Linked DNA regions of Elephas maximus indicus. The protein of the gene in region 3 interacts with the protein of the main gene of each other region in a pairwise test. Links are inferred from orthologs where the notes say so. Each region holds a gene or a part of one and is shown on either strand. Other genes may lie near its edges.

What was found. The genes of interacting proteins can lie anywhere in the genome.
Region 1: the proteins of HSPB1 (region 3) and PPM1A interact in a two-hybrid assay, tested with the Homo sapiens proteins (2 studies listed by BioGRID and IntAct). The link is inferred for Elephas maximus indicus from reciprocal best matches to the Homo sapiens genes HSPB1 and PPM1A.
Region 2: the proteins of HSPB1 (region 3) and FXR1 interact in a two-hybrid assay, tested with the Homo sapiens proteins (2 studies listed by BioGRID and IntAct). The link is inferred for Elephas maximus indicus from reciprocal best matches to the Homo sapiens genes HSPB1 and FXR1.

Annotation. Positions count from the first base shown.
Region 1 is NC_064828.1:72,637,267-72,645,238, reverse strand, and holds the start of PPM1A (protein phosphatase 1A), read right to left. Parts: upstream 3,007-7,972; 5' UTR 2,854-3,006; intron 2,601-2,853; exon of another isoform or gene 2,262-2,600; intron 2,153-2,261; exon of another isoform or gene 2,051-2,152; intron 1-2,050. UniProt on the Homo sapiens protein: Enzyme with a broad specificity. Negatively regulates TGF-beta signaling through dephosphorylating SMAD2 and SMAD3, resulting in their dissociation from SMAD4, nuclear export of the SMADs and termination of the TGF-beta-mediated signaling.
Region 2 is NC_064819.1:34,108,919-34,115,902, reverse strand, and holds the start of FXR1 (RNA-binding protein FXR1), read left to right. Parts: upstream 1-3,978; 5' UTR 3,979-3,994; intron 3,995-4,171; exon of another isoform or gene 4,172-4,180; 5' UTR 4,181-4,250; intron 4,251-4,659; exon of another isoform or gene 4,660-4,686; 5' UTR 4,687-4,725; coding exon 4,726-4,776; intron 4,777-6,984. UniProt on the Homo sapiens protein: mRNA-binding protein that acts as a regulator of mRNAs translation and/or stability, and which is required for various processes, such as neurogenesis, muscle development and spermatogenesis.
Region 3 is NC_064830.1:94,249,986-94,256,577, reverse strand, and holds HSPB1 (heat shock protein beta-1), read left to right. Parts: upstream 1-4,417; 5' UTR 4,418-4,537; coding exon 4,538-4,913; intron 4,914-5,550; coding exon 5,551-5,614; intron 5,615-5,737; coding exon 5,738-5,927; 3' UTR 5,928-6,091; downstream 6,092-6,592. UniProt on the Homo sapiens protein: Small heat shock protein which functions as a molecular chaperone probably maintaining denatured proteins in a folding-competent state. Plays a role in stress resistance and actin organization.

The DNA.
Region 1 (7,972 bases), on a different chromosome or scaffold from region 3:
AATCAGCTATACATTCTGAGCCATTACAATAAAGCCTAGGTTTAATCGGAACAAATTCAAAGACTACAGGTTTTTAGTTAAGTGCTGAGCAATATTTACCATGTGACATAATGATGTTGCTATAGATTTGTTATATACTCTATCCTACAGAGTCGCTATTGAGTTGGAATCTACTTGAGAGCAATGGGTTTGGATTTGGTTTATAGGTTTTTTTGGAAAAAAAAAATCAGGCACTAGGAACAAATTTTCAAATGAAGGTTTAGTAAGTCAAGATAAGCAAGACCGAGCATGAACTGTCAGCAAAACTCTTACAATGTCCTTCATATCAAACTACCCAGGGCAGAGCACTTGTTCAAACCTGTTGTCTTAGCTATCTTTTGTCCCTCGGAATCTCTGTCCTTTCTCCCAGGAGTTTCTTCCCAATCTCAACAGAGAAATCAATAAAGTTTATTTACTAGAGTATCTTTCCTAACAAACACTGAACAACTTAAAGTTCTCTTAAATAAAACACAACCCAGAAAGAAAATCAGCTTTAGAATGTTGAAGCATCTAAGTGCCTAGTACGTACCAGGCATTTGGTCATAGTACATTGAATGTCGGACACACAATGTTGACGCCAAAAAAAAAAGAAACCAAACTGGTTGCCCATCAAGTCGATTTCAACTCAGCACCCCTACAAGACACAGGAGAATTGCCCCATAGGATTTCCAAGGAGTGGCTGGTGGATTCAAACTGCCAATCTTTTGGTTAGCAGCCAAGCTCCTAACCACTGTGCCACCAGGGCTCCATAATGTTGATGAGAGAATAAAAAATTTAACATTTGATAAATAAAATAATCTGCCCCTTTCACTTTAGGGTTTTTGGAAACCGAGAATCAAAAGGTTAAAGGACTTGTCCATGGACACAGATTATTTTGGAGCACAGCCATGACTAAACAATTCTTGCCTCCTAGTAGTGTCCCCTTCAAAAGATCATACTGACTAAAAAAAAAAAAGATCATACTGTAAGTATAGTCACCACTTCTACCCTTCATACTAAATATAAAAAGATACAACCCATGTAAAAAGCAATGTTGATGACTCTGGCACTCAACCATAGTATTTCTCAAATATAACACAGATTGAAGTAGCTAACTTCAAACTATTAGTCTTAATATACAGCTCCACATAATTACTTCACACAAAATTACTTCACTGATGAGGAAAATGTTTATCAAATAAAAAATGTCTTAAGCAACTTCCATGTGCAGTTCATTATAATTTTAATAATGTGGTATTTGCTGTAAACTTGCAGGTTAAAACTAATCATTCCAACATGACTGAATGTTTAACCAGATATACGCGAGTTACACATAAGAACAGAACTATAATTTCATGAAACAAATGTTACTGTGTGCTTCAAATTACTTATTGGCAAAAGAAACATTAAGTAATTAACATCCAGGGTTAGAAAACTGGGGGGGAGGGGAGGAGGAATGAAAGTTTCAGAGAGTGGTCACTATCTTCTTACTCTTATTTTCTCTTCTGTAAAGTTACAGAAATACAATCTTTGGAAGAGGCCCAATATTAAAAAGATAAAAATATAAAAGTGAAGTTGTTCCAGTTAAAAAGGGAGTTAGGGACCAAGCTCTGCCAGCTGGACTCCTGAGAGCTCTGAAGCCCCTAAGGCTCAGCAGAGTACTGTTTAAATAAATAAATTCTCTGTCTCTTCAGCGCTCTCTGTACTTGAAACATGGTTGTGTTTAAAACCAGAACGTGCAAGTCTGAAAAGTTTTTAGATTTTTTTCGTAAGAACAATTAAAAAAATTTCTAATCTCTTTCAATAATCTCAAAATCATTTATTCTGGGAAAGAAATACACATCTCCCATGGATTTTTACACTTCCCATACTCTTTCAATAACTTCTTAAAACACAGTCTGCTCATTATTCCAATTAGCAGAAAACTTGGGACCGGGGGCGGCGCATATGTTTCCTGGCTTGGACAACTGAAGCACGACCTTTGCGGATTTGTAAGTACCATGTGGTGCTGGAGAAGAGAGAACGAAAATACCTCAGGTGATGAAATTTCCAAAAGATATCTAAAACTGCAGTTGGTAGAAGGCTCTCCACAGCCAGCTGTCTTTCAAGAAAAGGCTCCAAGTTTATTTAAAATCTACAAAGCAGAAGAGAACCATACCTTAACCAAGCTCTAACACTAAGAACTTTTACCCAAACAATTTCCACGATTAAAAAGACGAGGAGGAAAAATCAGTATAATTTACTTCAATGATTCGGTTCGATGTCTTAACATGAATGAATTGGAGGCGTCACCGACTCGAGTTCTGAAGCAGCCTCACTCTCAGCCCTGCTCCCTATAAAGCCTGAAGCAAATCCCCCAGAATCTGGTGTTTCGAGGGCTAGTCCGGTCCAAAGGACGCCTCTCCCTTTCTTCCTCCCGGCCTCCCTCCCAGGGGCTGGAGCCCAGGGCAGCGCGGCCGGGTGGGGGGGCGGCAGCCGCGAGGCCCGCTCCTCGCTCCGAAAAAGTTCCGCCGGCCGCTCTCGGGCCAGGCCGACCCGCGGCCCCCGCCCGCACGGCCGCCGCAAACACCCCGCCCGGGCCGTGGGAGGGTCGCGCTCCCTCCCAGCGCCGCCACCACAAACACCCCGCCCCCGCCCTCGCGGAGCGTTAACCCCTCGGCGCCCGCCGCCTGGCTCCGGGAAGGAGGCCGGCCAGGGGGTGGAGTTGTCGCGTCTCCTCTCGGGAGCGCCCGGGCAGACGCCCGGCTTGTTTACAGGCCCCAGGCCTGGCCGCGCCGCCGCTGCGCAGGCCCGCGCCGCTCGCCCGCCCGCCTTCAGCCCGAGCGCCGCGCTTACCCGGAGCAAGCCGCGGACTGGCAGGTCCCTGGTCGGCCGAGGCGGCGGCGGCAGCCGGGGGAGGGGCGGGGAGGGGGTCACCTCGGCGGCGGTCCGCCGGGTCAGGCAGGGGAGGGGGCGGAGGCGGGGAGGAGCCGGGCTGCGTCCGGGCCCCCGGCTCTCGGCGCCCTCGCGGCTCAGATCATCCGGGCGTTGGAGCGGGAGACGGAGAGCGGGTCCCGGAGAAAGAGGAGGAAGACCCGAGGATTCATCGCGTTCGCGCCCCACCTGCCTGGCGCCCCCCCACCCCCCACCCCGGCCACCCGTTCCGGAGCCGTAGGCGCCCGAGCTCCCAAAGCTCCGGGCCGGGCCGGCGCCGAGACCACTGCTCCCTCGCTCCCGCGCGCGCTCCCGTCCCCAGCGCCGCCGCTGTCTCTAGCGCGCCCCCGCGCAGGCGCGCTCACGACGGAGCCGCGCTGCCCCTCCCCCGCCCCGTGCCGCCCCGCCCCGCCGCCGCTACAGCTGCGGCGCGGCGGAGCAGCTGGAGAGACCCGGATGTCGTTGGGCAGGAACTGCGGCTAGCGCCGGTGGGAGGGGGAGGGGGAGGGGGAGGGGGAGGGGCGGCCCTGAATGACGTCACTACCATGCTTCGCCTGCCGCTGCTGCCACCTCCCCACCGAGGCTCCAGGCCGAGGCCGAGGGGAGCGTCCGGATTCCGGATAGGAACTGGGACCGGAGCTTGAATGGAATGTGCTACTCTTCGGGCCCGGTGGATTCGAGAGCCTTTCAAAGCCCGGCTTTCGGCCCTAGGGGATCTCGGAAGAGCCCCCCAGGGCGGCCGCACCTCCTCTCCTGGAGTTTCCACCTGTCTGCAGATGCACGCCCCACTCCCTGCCCCTCGACAGTCCCTGCTGAGACGCCGCCCACGGAGTCCCAAGGACTGACCTCGAGCTTTCCACCCTTCTCTGATTTAGTCGCGGCCTGGCCACTGCTCTTAGGACGCTCGTTTGGTCTCGTGCCCCAACCAGACCCCCTTCCCCGGTGCCCCGGTTTTCACAGAGCCATCCTACCCCAGGTGACCCAGGGAGGCCCACGGTGGTGCCACGGCCAAACACCTCGCTCTCCAAAGAGCAAGAACACACACACCCTACCACCACCCACCCACACTCGGGTGCAACTTATTCACGCACGGGGCACGTGTTCTGAGTTTCTGGCAGGTTTTCAGTTTGTAACTCATGGGATTCCACATTCGCACATGCTAGACATAACGTTATTCTGTAACAGGGGACCTACAACGACCTCCTTTGGGGTTAAGAAACGGAGGGTTCAAAATCCGGAGAATCAGAAGCGTAACAGCTGTTTCTATTAAGAATTAGAGATGAGCTAAACTTAGTTGAAACTGCACGTGCAGATGGCTAAAATCCAGTTCAGCTAGCTAGACTTCAGAAAATGTGACCCACGCTACTTGCAGACGCTGGGGGTAGAATGACAAACCTTAGGTGGCCAATGAATCAGAACTAAGAGCAATACATCACCAGCACGTTCCCATTGGCTGTGGCGCCTTTCTCTTGTTGGAGGATTAACCGGTTAGTGGGTTTCATCTACACCACTTTTGCAGTCACAGAAGTTTAAAAGAAAAATCCGTGGAGCTTTAAAAGATGCTTTGGTGTATGCAAAGAAAAATCAAATACTTCGTTGTAGGAGGGAGGTACTCTAAAAAGAACACCTGAAAATATTAGTCAAATTGAGCCCTGGCCAATAGGAAAGTAAGTTTGTGGTGAGGCCTTTCCATTTTATCTCCGGAGCTTACTGTAGCATTTTGCACCCTGGTACTCTTTATCTCCTAAAACCACTTTGTTGCCTCAACTCTTAGATCAAAAGAGAGTTATTTATTATGTCATTCTGTCATTCAGCTAGCATTATTTAGCTGCTTTTAAAGTTGTAAGAGCCCTGTCTAATTTTTTCAATTTGTCTTTTGTGGGAAGGTTCTGTGCCTTCCACTTTTAGACCTGGGACCTAACTACAGCAACAACAGTATCAAACAGTATTGCCAAATGGTCACTGACTGGTCAAATCTCCAAGGAACCCCAAAATCACTCTACCCAATATTTTTGGGTTTGAGATTTCTTAGAGTAAGATGAAGATGGATCATTTCCAGATATGCAAAGTAAAAAAATTCACTTATGCATTTGATCCCATCTGAGGACACATTTCCTAATTACTTCTCCACACACCTGCCAACAAAAGAAATTGGAACGAAGATCTTCGAAATTCTGCCCTACTGAAATCCTTAATACGTCAGACAAGTAATAGCACAATTAGCATGATGGTGGAGTCGTTATCACTCTGAAATAGAAAAGCCCATGTGGCAACCATGATTTGGCATGCTCTTAAAAAAAAAAACTAATTTTCTTATTCATGAGGTAGAAGCTGGTTCATCAACGGCAGTAGTGGGCCACAGAGAACTTGAAGGTCTTGCCCATCTTTCTGTGCCCTTCCTTTAGGTTTCCACCCCTTTCTTTTCTCTGCTCTACACTTATAGAAGGATCTGGCCAAATTGTAGCAGAAGTGGGAGAAAAATAGAAAATACGAGCACAGAGAGATTTATAAGTAATCTTCACAGTGTACCACAGACTACCAATAAACCTGCACCTTCCTGTTATTTATTTCTGGATACATTTTGGTATGAACTAAAAAACTCATGAATTATAAGATTAACGTTGTAAAATTCAGAACAAAAGTGTCAATAGTTTCTGATTAAATATGCTTGCTATTATAATATCCCTGTCATTAAATCTCATACTAAGGAAAAATTTTAAATATTTAGAAGGAAAAAAATTGAAAAAGAGTTAAAGGGTTTTGTTTGTTTTTCTCTTTTCAGCCTTGTCTGGGTGTTGTACACATATTTGGGCTCTTCATAGTAAGTTTTTGTGGAACATCAAAAACCAAACCAAAACCATTGCTGTTGAGTTGATTCCGACTCATAGCAACCCTATAGGGCAGAGTAGAACTACCCCCATAGGGTGTTTCCAAGGCTGTAAATCTTTATGGAAGCAGACTGCCACATCTTTCTCCCATGGTGGGTTTGAACTGTTAACCTTTTATTTGGTCTGCAGTGGAATGCTTAACCACTGTGCCACCAGGGCTCCTTTGTGGAACATCAGTAGGGTATATATTGCCATAACTGTATTTTAGTAATTTTTATAGATATAAAACTATGCTACTCTGCTTTAGAAATCTGTTTGAATTTCATTTAACAGAAAATATTTCTGAAAGTTGGCTTTAATGTCCTGAATTTAACTTGGTGCTATTAACCTAGTAATTGAGACGTTTGGGGTAAGGACAGGGTTTGTGGTGGAGAGTATAAAAACTTAAACTGGTCAGCAATACTCTCTTCCCCTTTTCTCACAACCATGACTTAAAGAAGAGGTTTACACTCTTTGTTGCCAAATTACTATAGTGAAAGCACCCAGGAGAATCATCCTGAGACAGCCTTGCCTGGGCCTCTCAAAACAATCTCAGCAATTTAAGTGACCTCTGGCGGGGGGGGGGGGGGGGGGGGGCGGAGACCTAGAATCCCCTTCACCTGAGCCATCCATCCATTCACACCAAAGCCAGTTAACTACCCAAGAGTTACAAAGCCAAGCAGAACAGCTTCGAGTCTTCCTACCTCCTGCTCTTTCACTACGTGTTTCACGCCTTTTTCTCACACACATCTTCTTCAGTTGTCTTTCTCTTCTCTCTTTTCTCTTCCTTATCGCTCTTCTCATTTTCTTCTGTTCACTCTCCATCTTCTTCACCTTTCTTTTCCCCATTCTTCTATTCTCTCTTTTTTAGCTTAGTCCAAATTACGGCATCTGCTCCCCACTCGCTCCTGGAGTAGTACATGTGAACTGATAATGCCCCCAAACTAATTTTGTTTGGGGGGTGTGAGCCCCCCCATCCTAGTGCTCCTTCCTCCCTCCCCCCCAACCATATCGTATCATGAAAAACTTAGCTGTTTAGAAGATTGTCATAGAATGATAAGGATTAGAGAATCTAGTCCTGTGTGACATCACTGGGGCACCCCCAGGCTGCACTGTGGCCCTTCCTAAGCCCTGAGCAACTTATTATGAAACATGGGCTACTATGAGGGCCACAGTTGAAGTCCTAGATGGTTTTTAAGTTAGGCTGTCGCATTAAGATAACCATGTATGTATGTCCACAGCCTTACAACATTGGTGTGCATCTTGTTAGACAAGTTCATCTGTTCAACAGATAGTTATTGTATACCTGGTGTTGTGCTGGATGCTGGGGGTAGATAATGACATCAGTGGGCAAGATCCCAGCCCCCAAGGAGCTGACGTTAGAGTGGAGGATACAAAGAAGTAAATAAATAAACAAGAAAATTACAGATTGTGATCAGTGCTGGGAAGGAAATAAATATGGAAATAGATGAGAAGAAGTTTTGAAGCGGATGTTCAGGGCAGATCTTTCTAAGGAGATAGCATTTGAACTGAAGGATGAGAAGGAGTCAGCTCTGCAAAGAATCAGGGGAAAGCTTTCCAGGAGAGGGATCAGCGTGGGCAAAGGGCCTGAGGTAGGAAAGAGAGTGCCAGAAAAGAATTATTCATACAACCTAGGAGAAGCACACCAAACCCAAGGTAAATTTTTTTTAATTGTCAAGAATATGTATATAACATAGCAGCTGCCAATATAACATTTTTCAGATGTACAATTTAGTGATATCCGTTACATTAATCGTTTTGAGCAGCCATACCCATAATCATTGCCAAATTTCCTATCACCATAAACAGAAGCTCACTGTTTCTTAAACAGTGGGTCCTCCTTTCCCCCTCCCTCTCGCTCCTGGTAACCACTGATAAACTTTGGTCTCTATACATTTTTCAAGGCAAATTTTTATAAAGTCACAAAAGTTTAGATGGAGTTTCAGTTTAGGATAACCCATTGCTGTCAAGCTGATTTCAACTCACAGCCATCCTATAAGAGAGTAGAGCTGCCCCATAGGGTTTCCAAGGAGTGCCTGGTGGATTCTAACTGCCGACCTTTTGGTTAGCAGCTGAACACTTAACCAGGTCTCCTCAATTTAGGATACTGGGGATATTTACTCCAACTTAAAATTAAGAAACCGCCTTGAGCA
Region 2 (6,984 bases), on a different chromosome or scaffold from region 3:
TGAAAGAACTGAAGAAAAAATTCAAGCTTTGACTTGCAATACTGAAGGATTCTACGGGGAAAATATTAAACAATGAATGAAGCCTCAAAAGAAGATGGAAGGAATATACAGAGTCACCATACCAAAAAGAATTGGTTGATGTTCAACCATTTCAGGAGATAACATATGATCAGGAACAGATGGTACTGAAGGAAGAAATTCAAGCTGCACTGAAGGCACTGGCGAAAAACAAGGCTCCAGGAATTGATGGAATACCAGTTGAGATGTTTCAACAAACGGATGCAGTGCTGGAAGTGTTCACTCGTCTATGCCAAGAAATTTAGAAGACAGCTACCTGGCTAACCGACAGGAAGAGATCCATATTTATGCCTATTCCCAAGAAAGGTGATTCAACCGAATGCAGAAATTACTCAACGATATCATTAATAGCACATGTAAGCAAAATTTCGCTGAAGATCATTCAAAAGCAGCTGCAGTGGTATATCGACAAGGAACTGCCAGAAATTCAAGCCGGATTTAGAAGAGGATGTAGGACCAGGGATATCATTGCTGATGTCAGATGGATCCTGGCTGAAAGCAGAGAATACCAGAAAGATGTTTACCTGTGTTTTATTGACTATGCAAAGGCATTCGATTGTGTGGATCCTAACAAATTATGGATAACATTGTGGAGAATGGGAATTCTGGGACACTTAATTGTGCTCATGAGGAATCTGTACATGGATCAAGAGGCAGTCATTCAAACAAAATGAGGGGATACTGCATGGTTTAAAGTCAGGAAAGGTGTGAGTCAGGGTTGTATCCTCTCACCATACCTATTCAACCTGTTTGCTGAGCAAATAATCTGAGAAGGTGGACTATATGAAGAAGAACAGGGCATCAGGATTGGAAGAAGGCTCATTAACAACCTGTATTATGCAGATGACACAATCTTGCTTGCTGAAAGTGAAGAGGACTTGAAGCACTTACTGATGAAGCTCAAAGACCACAGCCTTCAGTATGGATTACACCTCAACATAAAGAAAACAAAAATCCTCACAACTGGACGAAAAAGTAGCATCGTGATAAACACAAAAAAGATTGAAGTTGTCAAGGATTTCATTTTACTTGGATCCACAATCAATGCCCATGGAAGCAACAGTCAAGAAATCAAAAGACACATTACATTGGGCAAATCTGCTGCAAAGGACCTCTTTAAAGTGTTGAAAAGGAAAGATGTCACCTTGAAGACTAAGGTGTGCCCGACCCAGGCCACGGTGTTTTCAATCATCTCAGATGCACGCGAAAGCTGAACAATGAATAAGGAAAACTGAGGAAGAATTGACGCCTTTGAACTGGGTTGCTGGGGAAGAATACTGAATATACCACGGACTGCCAAAAGAATGAACAAATCTGTCTTGGAAGAACTACAACCAGAATGCTCCTTAGAAGCAAAGATGGTGAGACTAAGTCTCACATACTTTGGACATATCAGGAGGGATCAGTGCCTGGAGAAGGCCATCATACTTGGTAAAGTAGAGGGTCATCAAAAAAGAGGAAAACCCTCAATGAGATGGACTGACACAGTGGTTGCAACAATGGGCTCAAGCATAGCTACAATTGTGAGGATGGTGTAGGACTGGACAGTGTTTTGTTCTGTTTGCATAGAGTTGCTATGAGTTAGAACCAACTCAATGGCATCTAACAACAACGTACGTGTATACATATATACACACACGTATGTATGTATGTATATATATACACACATGCACACGCACAGAAATACACATATCTGCACATATATTTTTTAAACATGATTATGCATGTTTTGTGACTTGCTTTTCCTTTTAATAATAGACATATTTTCAAGATGATGAAAATAGAACAATATCCAAATATTAAAGTTTATTAACGTTCCATTATGAATAGCATATGGAGCAGCAGATAGAATCATTGATCAAGAGGTGGGCTTTGGAGATAGATAATGGAGGACTTAAGTCCTAGTTCCTCCACTTAGAATTTTTGTAACCTTGGATAGGTTACTGGTTGCTACAAACCTTAGTTGCTTAAGGGAAATAATGAGGTCTACTTGGCAAGGGATAGTAAGGTATTGGCAGGGCGTCCAACTCAAATGCTTTCAGTATGAAAGACCTGAAGAGGAAGAACCCTGATTTTCAGAGTTCAGGCAGTAATGCTTTGGCATGTGTCCTAATGAGGCTTTCACAACACAACCCCAAGTCACACTGAGAAACAAAACAAAGCAATACACTGAAGGCCAAAACAAACAGAAGAAGGAAGAGAAGGAGGAGGAGGAAGAGTACAGAAAAGAAGCCCCAAAACAAAACTAGAACTCTCATACATTGATGGTGGGAATACAAAACGGTGTATCCACTTTGGAAAAGAGTCTGGCAGTTCCTCAGCAGGTTAAACATGAAGTTACAATAAAAAACCCCATTGCTGTTAAGTCCATTTGGACACATAATGACCGTATAGGATAGAGTAGAACTGCCCCACAGAGTTTACAAGAAACACCTGGTGGATTCAAACGGCTGACCTTTTGGTTACCAGCCAAACTCTTAACCACCATGGCTCCAGTAGGTGCCAGCAATTTCACTTCTAGGTATATCCCCAAAGGAAATAAACCCACACATTCATACGAAAACTTGTACAAACATGTTCATAGCAGAATTAGTCCTAATAGCCAAGAAAGTGGAAAGTCTATCAGTTGATCAATTGATGAATAGATAAATAAAATGTGGTATATCCATATAATGGAATATTCGACAATGAAAAGAATTAAGTACTGATACATGCTACAATATGGATGAACCTTGAAAACATTATGCCAAATGAAAAAAGTCAGCCAGGAAGGACCACACACAGTGTGATTCCATTCATATGAAATGCTCAGAGTGCAGGAAAATCCATATGAAGTACCCAGAGTAGGAAAATCTATAGAGACAGAAGGTAGATTAGGGAACGGAGGGTTGGGGGAAACAGAAGGTAGATAGGGAAGAGAGGGTTGGGGGAAATGGGTGGTGACTGCTAAGCAGTAAGGGGCTTCCTTCTGGTGTGATGAAAATATTCTAAAATTGACTGTGGTGATGGTTGTGCAACTTGAAAACACTAAAAGCCACTGAATTTTCAATGGGTGAATCGTATGGTATTAGATTTCTACTTCCATAAAGCTGTTTTTTAAAAAAGCAAACTAGGGCATTATGATTTTGGATCACAAGAAAATGGTATATAAATGTTGGATAGAAGAAGCCCTTAAGTTGGCTATTACTCATTGATGGGTATTTATGTTTTTCTCACAGTGATCAACATTTTTAAAAGCATAGCATGTACATAGCAACACAACATGGAGCACCTTCCCAGGCACCGTTTCCTTTGGGAGTCTTTGGAGATGCAGAAGAGGCCCACCCTCCCTCCAAAAGGGCTGTGCAGAGGGCATGTTCTTGGGAATATAGAGTGTGAGTAAAGCATCCTTTTTTAGTTAGAATTTTTCTGTCAAAATGGTAATACAACACACAAAAACAAGCCCTTCTAGTATACTTTCCAAAGCCTTGCTTTGGGTAAAAGTTTTACTATGAGCTTGTATTGTCGTAAGTTCCAGTAGGAAGTCATACGAGGTGGTTCTGCTTTGATCTCATTTATGGAACTTCCCAAGCCCTTGGAGCAGAGGAAAACGAAGCCTCCCCCTCTGTTAGGTTTCTCTGACTCCTTCTAATAACGGGTATTAACCTAAACACGCTTTGGGTTTGAACACATCAAGTCAATTTCAACTCACAGCGACCCTATAGTACAGAGCAGAAATGCCCTCATAGGGTTTCCAAGGCTGTAAATCTTTAGGAAGCAGACTGCCACACCTTCCTCCCGCGGAGCAGCTGGGGGATTCCAACCGCTGGCCTTCCGGTAAGCAGTGAGTGCTTAACCACTGTGCCGCCAGGGCTCCGAACACATCTAAGCTCCTTTGAAAATACGTTTGGCTTTTGAACAGCTGATGTGGTAACAGGTGGGGGAGAGGGCTTGGCCCGACTGTGCCAGGGGGTGTGGAAATGCGGAATTTGAGCCAGTTAATTTGAGGCCTTCTATTCAGTCAATAGAAGGCGTCAAATAAAAAAAAAAAGGGAGGGGGGGCAGGGCGCTAAAGAACTTGCAGCACAATAGGATGTACATTTCTAGCCACCCTTCCCCCCAGCAACGCGGTGCCAGTAGGCGTCTGGAGCCCAGAAAGTTGCTCTTCCCGCAACAAGGACACTACTTCCGAGGTACCAGCCTGGCTAAGCCCGGGGTGGGTGCCGGGGCAGTGGGGTGCCAAGGTGTGCGGCGCACAGGGCCTGGGACGGGGCCGGGGACGGGGACGCGGACGCGGACGCGAACGCGAACGGCGGGGTCTGGGACGGGGCCGGGGACGCGGACGGCGGGGTCTGGGACCGGGACGGGGACGTGGACGCGACCCGAGGACGAAGCGGGGAGGGCGGCGCTCGCGGGTCAGCGGAGGTCGGCGATTGTGTCGGGAACCTGCAGGGCGGTGACGGCGGGCGGAGCAGCGGCGGGTGATGTAAGGAGCCGCGGGGTCCCAGCGGGAGAGTCAACGCTGTGCGGCGAGACCCCAGGGGCGCGGGATTCCAGCCCCGCCCTGTCCTCCCCGCCCTCCCCCCGCCACCTCACGCCCTCCCCCCCTCTTCCCCTCTGGTTGGAAAGTTTCTAGAATCTCTTCCCGGCGGCCTTTGCGGTTCCAACATGGCGGAGCTGACGGTGGAGGTTCGCGGCTCCAACGGGGCTTTCTACAAGGTACTGACCTTTCTGCAGCTCGGCGGGGTCTCCGGAGGGCTGGGGCGGGCCTGAGGGAAGGTTGGCGGTCTCCAGCAGTGCGGTCTGGGGTCGCAAAGGGCGGCCAGGCCTAAGCTCAAGGCCGCCAGGCCCCTGGCTTAGCTCCCCTCGGCCCGCGGTTTAACGGTCTCGGGGTCCCGGGCTCCGTTATGTTTTTCCAAGACGTCGGACCCTCCTGGCTTTCTCCTGCTGCCGGGCCTCCCTCATGGCGGCCGGCGAGGCCAGGCCGAGTGGGTGCCCGCAGGCGGCGAGCGCCGTGGAGGCAGGCCCGACCGCCGGCGGTGGGAGCCGGGAGAGGGGGCGGTGGGTGGTGGCGGCCGCCGCTCCCCGCGCTCGCTCTGGGCGGAGGGGGCGCCCCTGCCTGCGCCCCCGACCCTCCACACCCGGAGGACGTCGCGGAGACTTAGGAATCCACCTTTCTGTTGGGCTTCAGGCCGGCCAGTTTTTCAGTCTCTAAAGGGGAAAAAGAGGGTACCAAATTGCGGGTTAGCAGCGGAAAGAGAAAACTAGAAAACCTCGAAATGTGGCGGGGAAGTATTTTTGCGGACTGGGAAGTGGGGCGGCGCCGCGGCCCCTCTGTTAACGGAAGAAAAGCAGAGAGTCCAGCGAGGCTTTAAAGTGAGACTTCAAAATGTGAAACGGATCAGGGAGACAGGTGGGGAGTATACTCGTTTCTCTGTATCCGTTACTCTTGTGTTTTTGGAGGGAGGGTGTTGTCTTTTGTTTTTTTTTCCGCGAGTTCCCCCCCTCCCCCGGTTCCCTTTGGGAGGAAAGAGATGGCATTCCTCTGAATTGGGGCAGGAAGAGGCGGAGAGGGATTCCAGAGCAGGGGAGTTTGGTGTAGTGTAGGGGCTGCCAGCGTAGGTGCCAGACAGCGAAATGAAATCTTAAAACAGTTTATTTTCATCATTACAATGTCTCCTTTTTCCGATTCTCCGTTTCTCCCTAAGTATGCCAGGATGTTACAAGATCAATACAAGATCTCTACAGCTGCTGTCTGTCAGTCACTCTCACTAAGCCAGCATCTCAAATGTTTGAGAGCCCTGGCTATTTTTATGAAGGGCCTTCTCCTGATACAAGAACACTGTGCGTACGCAGAAGGAATTCTCACTGGGCCTACCCATGGGACTTTATTTTTGGTGGTCATGTTTTCCTGTTTTCGGCGTTTTGTTTTTCCTTTCCGAGTTTACCGATTAGCTCCGTGCATTTGGTTTAACTGTCACGTGGTAATAGTATAGTGGGGAGTCACAGCTGGCGTATAAAGGATCCGTTTAAGCTTTTTCTAAGTTTAAATTTTCTTAGGTGGTCAACGTGAGAGTAGAAGCAGTGACTGCCTGGTGGAAAGGAGTCATTAATATGACCTGTTAATATGACACTACTTATATTAGCAGTCTAGGTATAAAACTTGGTGTCAGACAAAGGACCTAAGTGGAATTTGAATAATTTCATTGACTTCAGTTTTTTCTGAAACCTAGTGGTTGCATTCTTTCAACGACTGAAAATAGGATTAGTTGGGGCACGGTGGACAAAGAATTGGCTCACCATACTTTTCCTATAAAGGATAGACAGAGCGGTTCATCATTTTATGTCAACACTTTTCCCCCATGAAGAAGTTTCAGATTATCACTGTTTGGCTTTATGTTTGGCTTTATGTTTCTTGTGTCATAGATGAATTTTTCTCATGCGTTTTTCCTGCATATTCCTAAAAATAGAAAATGATCACATTACTTTAACAAATTGTTTTGCAGCCTGTAGGTGGTAGAACACATTTCGACTTTAGTCAGGTGTATGTGTTTTATTATGTTGATAGCCTGCTGTCCAAGATTTTCTTCATTTTTACTTTCTTTCTCTTTGGTTTTGTAGTATTCATTATTTAAAGTCATCAATTTGAATGGTTTAGTGAAGGTTGTTTGTAGATTGGCTTCTCATGGTGGGTTTCTTCCCCCCTGTCAAGTAACAGTAAATCAAATGTCCCCGTTCTGGAATCCTGAAGTATTTATTATTGATCTCTGTCCATACTGTGCAGATCTACTGCTTGGTTCTACTTACTTTCACTCCATGGTCCATCTTATGTAACAAAGTGAAGTGGCTTTCTGGGAAAGGTTGAGAGTAGAATGACTCAAAGGGAAGGACCCTAGCCACAATTGTGTGTACTAAAATGATATTTGC
Region 3 (6,592 bases):
CTCTCTCCTCAGATGGGGGCCCGTGGGGACCCCCTACCCTCCTCCTTACCCACACAGCAGCTGGGAGGCTGGACAGGCTTTCCTATTTCCCATTTCCCTGGAAGTATTTTTCCATTTCTTCTAACGGTTTCTAACCGTTCACCTGCGACCCCAGACCCAGGACAACAAGACACAAGTGCATATGCCCAATTTGGGTGTCCCAGCCCTGAGCCAGTACCCCCATCCCTTCCCTCTCTGATATGCTTCTGGAAGCCCCCTGGCCTCCTGTCTGCCCCTCTCTCTCAGCTGCGGGAGTATTTAGCAAACCACTCCTATCACCAGACCCCCTCCACCTGTGGAGGGCTCTCAGGAGACCCAAGGCGTGGGGGTGCCCTGTCCCATGGCCCCATCTCCACAGCCTCTTGCTCACTTTCCAGGGCTCTCTCCCTTAGGCTGGAAGCCCAAATCCACCTCAGCACAGGAATCCCTTTCTCCTTCCAATTTTTCCAGTCTAGGGGGAATTCCTGGGCCCCCACCCCTGTTTCTTACCTTACTTTGGTTTAAAGGGACAGCAGCCCCAAGTCACGCCTGGCCTAGGCTCAGCTGGTCAACAGGGACGGGACATCCACATCTCAGGCCTGGTGAGTGTCTCACCTCCTCCCCTTACCCCTCAATCTCTGCCTCCATTTACCATGTACACCCCCCCTACGGCTGCAGCATTAGACTGCAGAGCAGGTAGGCAGGGCACTGGGGTAGGGAGGACCCTGGAGGAGCAACTGTTGCTTCCTGGCCCTGAAAGGAGTCTTACAGAACAGCCAGTCCAATGGTCTCATTGTGCAGATGAAGAAAATGAGTCACAGCAGCCGGCCCCTGGCCAAGGTCACAGAGTCAAAGACATCCCAGGTTCCCAGACTCCCATTTTTTCTGCTCCATGGAGAGGGGGTGGAAGGTGCTGGAAGATGGATCCCCAGCCCTCCCACCTGCTCCCTCCTAGTCCCCTTCAGCAGTGCTTGGGGAGGGATGACCCCTGGACAATTCAGAAGCCAGAGGCCTAGGAAGCAAGGCAGGCCAGAGATGGGTTTTTGCCCCAGAGGGGCAGTGTATAGAAGCTTCCAGAAAGACCCCGTGCCTGCCACCCCCATGCACTCTAATTACGGCTGCCTACATTTTCAGTTTCTGGCAGGCCCTGTGGCTGGTGCAATCGTCAGCTGTCAGGCCTCTCCAGGGAGCTCAGGCAGCTGCCTGAACACTCTGGAGCTTTCTTTGACCCTGAGCCAAAGAGGGAGGGGCCAGTTCAGCCACAGTTAACAAAGGCCTGCCAAGGGCATGGCTACTGTGGCCAGGGCCTCAGACATGGTGCAAAGGAGGCTGCTCAGGAGCACCCCAGACTTCAGGGCTAGGGAGGAGAGAAGGGGCTGTCTCGGATGCAGGAATGCCCAGACCATACAATAGGTAATGAAGCGGGGTAGGGCTAGCACCTGCCCTGTGGCTTCTGGAAAACCTCTGGGGGTGAGCACTGAAAAACTACCCTTGGCAGCTCAGCGCCCCAGGATGCCAGAGTCGGAGTCTCAAATTGTCAAAGAACAATCGGCCAGTCAGGGCTGACTTCCACCCCTTGCTCTGCTAACCAAGCCCTGTGGCAGGTGTCCGGTATCACCTCCTGAAGGAAGGATGCCTGGTCAGGGCTGGAAGGGACCCAGAGTGCCTGGCCCCACAAGGAACCCTTAGCTGCACACCCCACTCTGCACTCTGGGAGCCTACAACCCACAGCCCTTCCTGGGCTGCCTGGGAAGTCTCTTGACTGATGGGCAGGGAATCAAGAGGCCTGAGTTCCAATCCCTCCCCACCCTTCCCAGCTTTGTCACCTTGGGGCAATTCTGACCCTCAGTTTTCTCATCTGAATAACGGAACTCTGATAAGATACTTTGAAGTAGTAAAGCACATACATACAACTTCGTTGAAGTTGCAATGTCCAAAATTAAAGGCCAGGAGCACTTACTGAGCCCCAGGCCTGTAACAGGCTTTATTGCATTTGAGACTCACCACAACCCTGCAGGGTGGGCGCATTTATTATTTACCCCATTTGACAGATGGGACATGTGGGCCCAGAAAGACCACCAGTACCCAGATTCACTCCCAATCCCGTCTAACCCCCAAATGCAGTTTCCTACCCCCACCCCCATCTCGCCCAGCGCGGTGCTGCCCAGAGCCATCCATGTCCCTCCCTTGTGATTGACTGGATGATATGAAAGTTGTCCCTCAAGAACTGACCCACTGAAGATGGATATGCATTCTCAGCCCCCAGATCGGGGTGCTGTGGGGCCCCCTGGGTTGCACAACTTCCTCCTCCGGCTGGGCCAGCGGGGATGGACTCTCCACACCCTGGTTTCAGGTGAGATGAAGGGAGCGATGAACGGAGCTGTGTTCAAAGGGCTGGCAGCCAGCAGACGGCCCCCACCCAAAGGGCGTCTGGGCCTGGCAAGGCTGCACTTGAAAGCATCCTGACCACACCTGACAGCTCCCTCTAGGGTGGGGTGCCCTGGGCTCCAGTCTGGGCCAAGGTGGACAGGCAGGGGCAGATGAGGCCCTCCCTGGTTCCTGATCTCATCTCTGTTTTATAGAGCTAGGGATAGGTGGGGCTGGACATGCTAGGGAGCAAAGGCCTGGGCTTCCTGAAGCTGAGACCCTTGGGGGGCGGCCAGTAGCTCCCAGCAGAAACCCACTGGGCTTATGACATGATCCAGCAAGAGAAATGGGGCAGAAGTCAGGAGTCCTGCCTGCCTCCCACCCTGGGCTCTCCAGACCCCCGGAGCTCAGAGGCCTTTCCAGAGGTGGCCTTGGCTTCGGGGCCCAGTCCTGGCTTTTCCCCGATGAGCAGCAGGGAGGTAAGAAAGAGAGGTGTCTGTGTGCTCTCTTTCAAAGAGGAAACCGAGGCTCAGAGAGGGCATGAGACTTGTGGCCACCCCCAGCCCATCAAGATGAGCAACCTCGAGTCCTGGCTCCCATTCTCTCAGGTATGCCTGGAGTCTGGGCCTGGCCAGGGCAAGGCCTTAGTGGCCTTGGTATAGGTCCCCTATAGACCTGGCAAGAGGAGGGCCTCAGCCCCAGCATAAGGGTAGCAAGTAGAATGGGCTGGGAAAAGAGGGACCAGAGGACCCCAGGGCAGGAGCCCCACAAGGGTAAGAGCCCTGGATACTAGGAGGCAAGAGGTCTGGCTCTGTTAGTGTTTCAAGTGGACTCCAACTCATGGAGACTCAGTGTGTGTCAGAGTAGAACTCTGTTTCATAGGGTTTTCCAATGGCTGATTTTTTTGGAAAGTAGGTTGCCAGGCCTTTCTTCTGAGGCTCTTCTGGGTAGACTCGAACCTCTAATCTTTAGGCTGGCTGTCAAGTGTGTTAACCATTTGTACCACCCAGGGACTCCATCTATCACCTAGAATCCCTCTTTCCCTTTGTGCTGTGGGAATCAGATACAAAAGGGGGTTTGAAATCATAAGATGCAAAAGGACAAACTGAGGCTACAGAAAGGAGGTGCTTTGCCCCAAATTACACAGTAAGTCAACGACAAAGCCCAGACTAGATTCCAGATTGCTGCACTTCAGGTTCCCTGTCCAGTGCTCCTTGAGAAACAGATATAACAGGAGATTTGGCAATAAGCTTCCCCCACCACCACCCTCTCAGGACTAGACCTGGGGGTTTCTAAGCTGGGCCAGCCCAGTTTACTAGGGGCAGGGAAGAATGTCAAACCCACACATGCCAGCTCCTCTGCCACAGGGCTGGGGTGTGGAGAGAACAGACTTGTACACACTATCCTTCCTCTGGGTTTTTTTTTTCATCCTTCCTCTTCCCTCTTGTGCATTTCAAGTAGATAATAATAATAATATTAACAATCATTAGGTACCAGGCCCTAAGGCCTGGCACTAAGCCACAGAAGCCTTCATTATTATAAGCATTATTATTACATCATCTCCATTTTCCAAATGGGGAAACTGAGGCACAAAGAATCTCATTTGCCCAAACTAATACAATTAGGGGCAGAACCAAGATGTGCATTCAGGCAGAACCAGAGTCTGGTTCCTAACGACCACACCAGATTGTTTCTTAAGGCATTGTATCACAGACACAGTGTGGTTCAAATCCTGCCTCCGCTGCTTACTAGTTGTGTGGCCTGGGACAAGTAACTCAAACTCTCTCGGCTTGTCCTCCTTAACAAAAGAGTGGGACTGTCCACTGACCGCAGCTCAGAGCTTTAGCGCCCAGGCCTGCAAGTGTCCGGCCAACACTAGTACGTGCGCTCCAGCCCTTTTTTTTTTTTTTTTAACAACAGAAGGTTCCCGATGTGGGCAGGGCCTTCCTCGCCTCACCCCCGCCCCCGCTCCCGCCCCCGTTGGAGGAATGCAGGAGGAGGGACAGACCCCAGCCAGTCATTGCCATTAATAGAGACCTGAAACACCGCCTGCTAAAAATATCCGGTTGGAGACCCATAAAAGCCCTAGCGGGGCCAGCCGCCCCACATTCTCCGAACTTCAGCCAGACGCATCCAACCGAGCTGAACCAGCATGACTGAGCGCCGCGTGCCCTTCTCGCTCCTGCGGAGCCCCAGCTGGGACCCTTTCCGCGACTGGTACCCGCTCCACAGCCGCCTCTTCGACCAGGCCTTCGGGCTCCCCCGGCTGCCCGAGGAGTGGTCGCAGTGGTTCGGCCACAGCGGCTGGCCGGGCTACGTGCGGCCGCTCCCTGCAGCCGCGGTCGAGGGCGCCGGGCCCGTGGCCGTGGCCGCGCCTGCCTACAGCCGCGCGCTCAGCCGGCAACTCAGCAGCGGCGTCTCGGAGATCCGGCAGACGTCCGACCGCTGGCGGGTGTCCCTGGACGTCAACCACTTCGCCCCCGAGGAGCTGACGGTCAAGACCAAGGACGGCGTGGTGGAGATCACCGGTAAGGCCCCGCTCCCCTGCAGGCGGACGAAGTTAGTATGGCGAGAGCGGGCCTCCTGACTTAGCCAGCCTGGGGTGAAGAACTAGGCCGGGTTGGGGGGGGGGGGGCGGTTGAAGGAGTGGGCGCGGGGCCTGTGGGTTCGAAGTTAGAAGTAGCCAAGGACCAGGAGCTGAGCCGCCTGTCATGGCCACTCCTCCCGTCTGTTTCGCCTTCTATATTAGGGGGTAGTTCCTCAGGGCCCTTTCAGCTCTAAAAACGGCCTGTTTAGGGAAGAAACACCCCTTCCATCGTCAACTCCCAGCCCCACTCCCCAAATAATCAGGCTTTCCTGCGCCCCACCGTGCTGCGCCGCACCCGGCGTGCTGTTGGCATGTAGCGGCGGGGACGGTCCCGGCGCTGCCCCTGCCCGAGTCTCTGCTGGGGGCGTGCAAGTGCTCAAGCGCCTGCAAGGCCCCGCGAGCTGGCGCAGTGCCCCCACGGTCCAAAAGACCGGAACGAATTTTCCAGGACTTTCTGAGAGAGGGCCCGGGAGAGGCGGGTCCCCCAAACCCCTAAGTCCATCAGCGTCTGCCTTGCGCCCCAGCCACGCCAGGGCAGGTGGCGGGGCCCCTGGTTCATGACTACCCCCTCCCCACAGGCAAGCACGAAGAGCGACAGGACGAGCACGGCTACATCTCCCGCTGCTTCACCCGGAAATACACGTGAGTCCTGGCCCCAGATTGTCCCGGAGATGGGGTGAGGGGGCTCACGGGAGGGAAGGGGCTGGGTGGAAGGCCGCGGTGCCTACCCTGTGTAACTCTTGGCCTCTCTCTTTGCATGCCCAGGCTGCCCCAGGGTGTGGACCCCACCCTGGTCTCCTCCTCCCTGTCCCCTGAGGGCACACTCACTGTGGAGGCCCCGATGCCCAAGCCAGCCACCCAGTCTGCCGAGATCACCATTCCTGTCACCTTTGAGGCACGTGCCCAGCTTGGGAGTCCAGAAGCTGGGAAGTCCGAGCAGCCTGCTGCCAAGTAAAAGTCTCGACCTTGCTGCCCAAACACCCCCACACCCCAGTAGCCATCGCTGGCCATCCCCACTCACCAATCTGTATGCTCTTTTGATACGTTTACCTTCAGTTTTTCTCAAATAAAGTTCGAAGCAACCGCCAGGTGCAGCCTCAGACTCTGGTGTTTGTGGAGGGCTGTTGTGGGGGGGGGTTAGTACCCTGCACACTCACACACACACACACACTCACACATTCATTGAAATTGCTGAGGGGCTACCGGGAGCCAAGCCCTGGGGATATAGTGTATATGTGACAGGACACAGCCCTGTCTTTAAGCCCCATGACCATTAAGAGAGAGGTAATGTTTTTTTTAATGGCTGTAACTAGACAAAACCTCAAGGGCCAGGTGCGGGACAGGGAAAACCAGGAGGGGCAATTGACTCTGGCTTTCAAACTCAGGAACATAAAGACAACTAGCCTGGGGTCAGGTGAAGGGGGACAGAGAAGGGCTGGGGGAGGGGAGCGACCTGGGAGCTCAAAGTTCTTTCCTGACCACATTATCCTCCAGAGAGGGGCAGGACCATGCAGAAAGTGTGGCAACTCCAAAGTGGCTTTCTGAGGGGGGTGGGGTGGTAGCCTCAACAAAGCACCTAATCCTCTGGCCCCCATGCCCAGAAATGCAGGCTGGGACCTG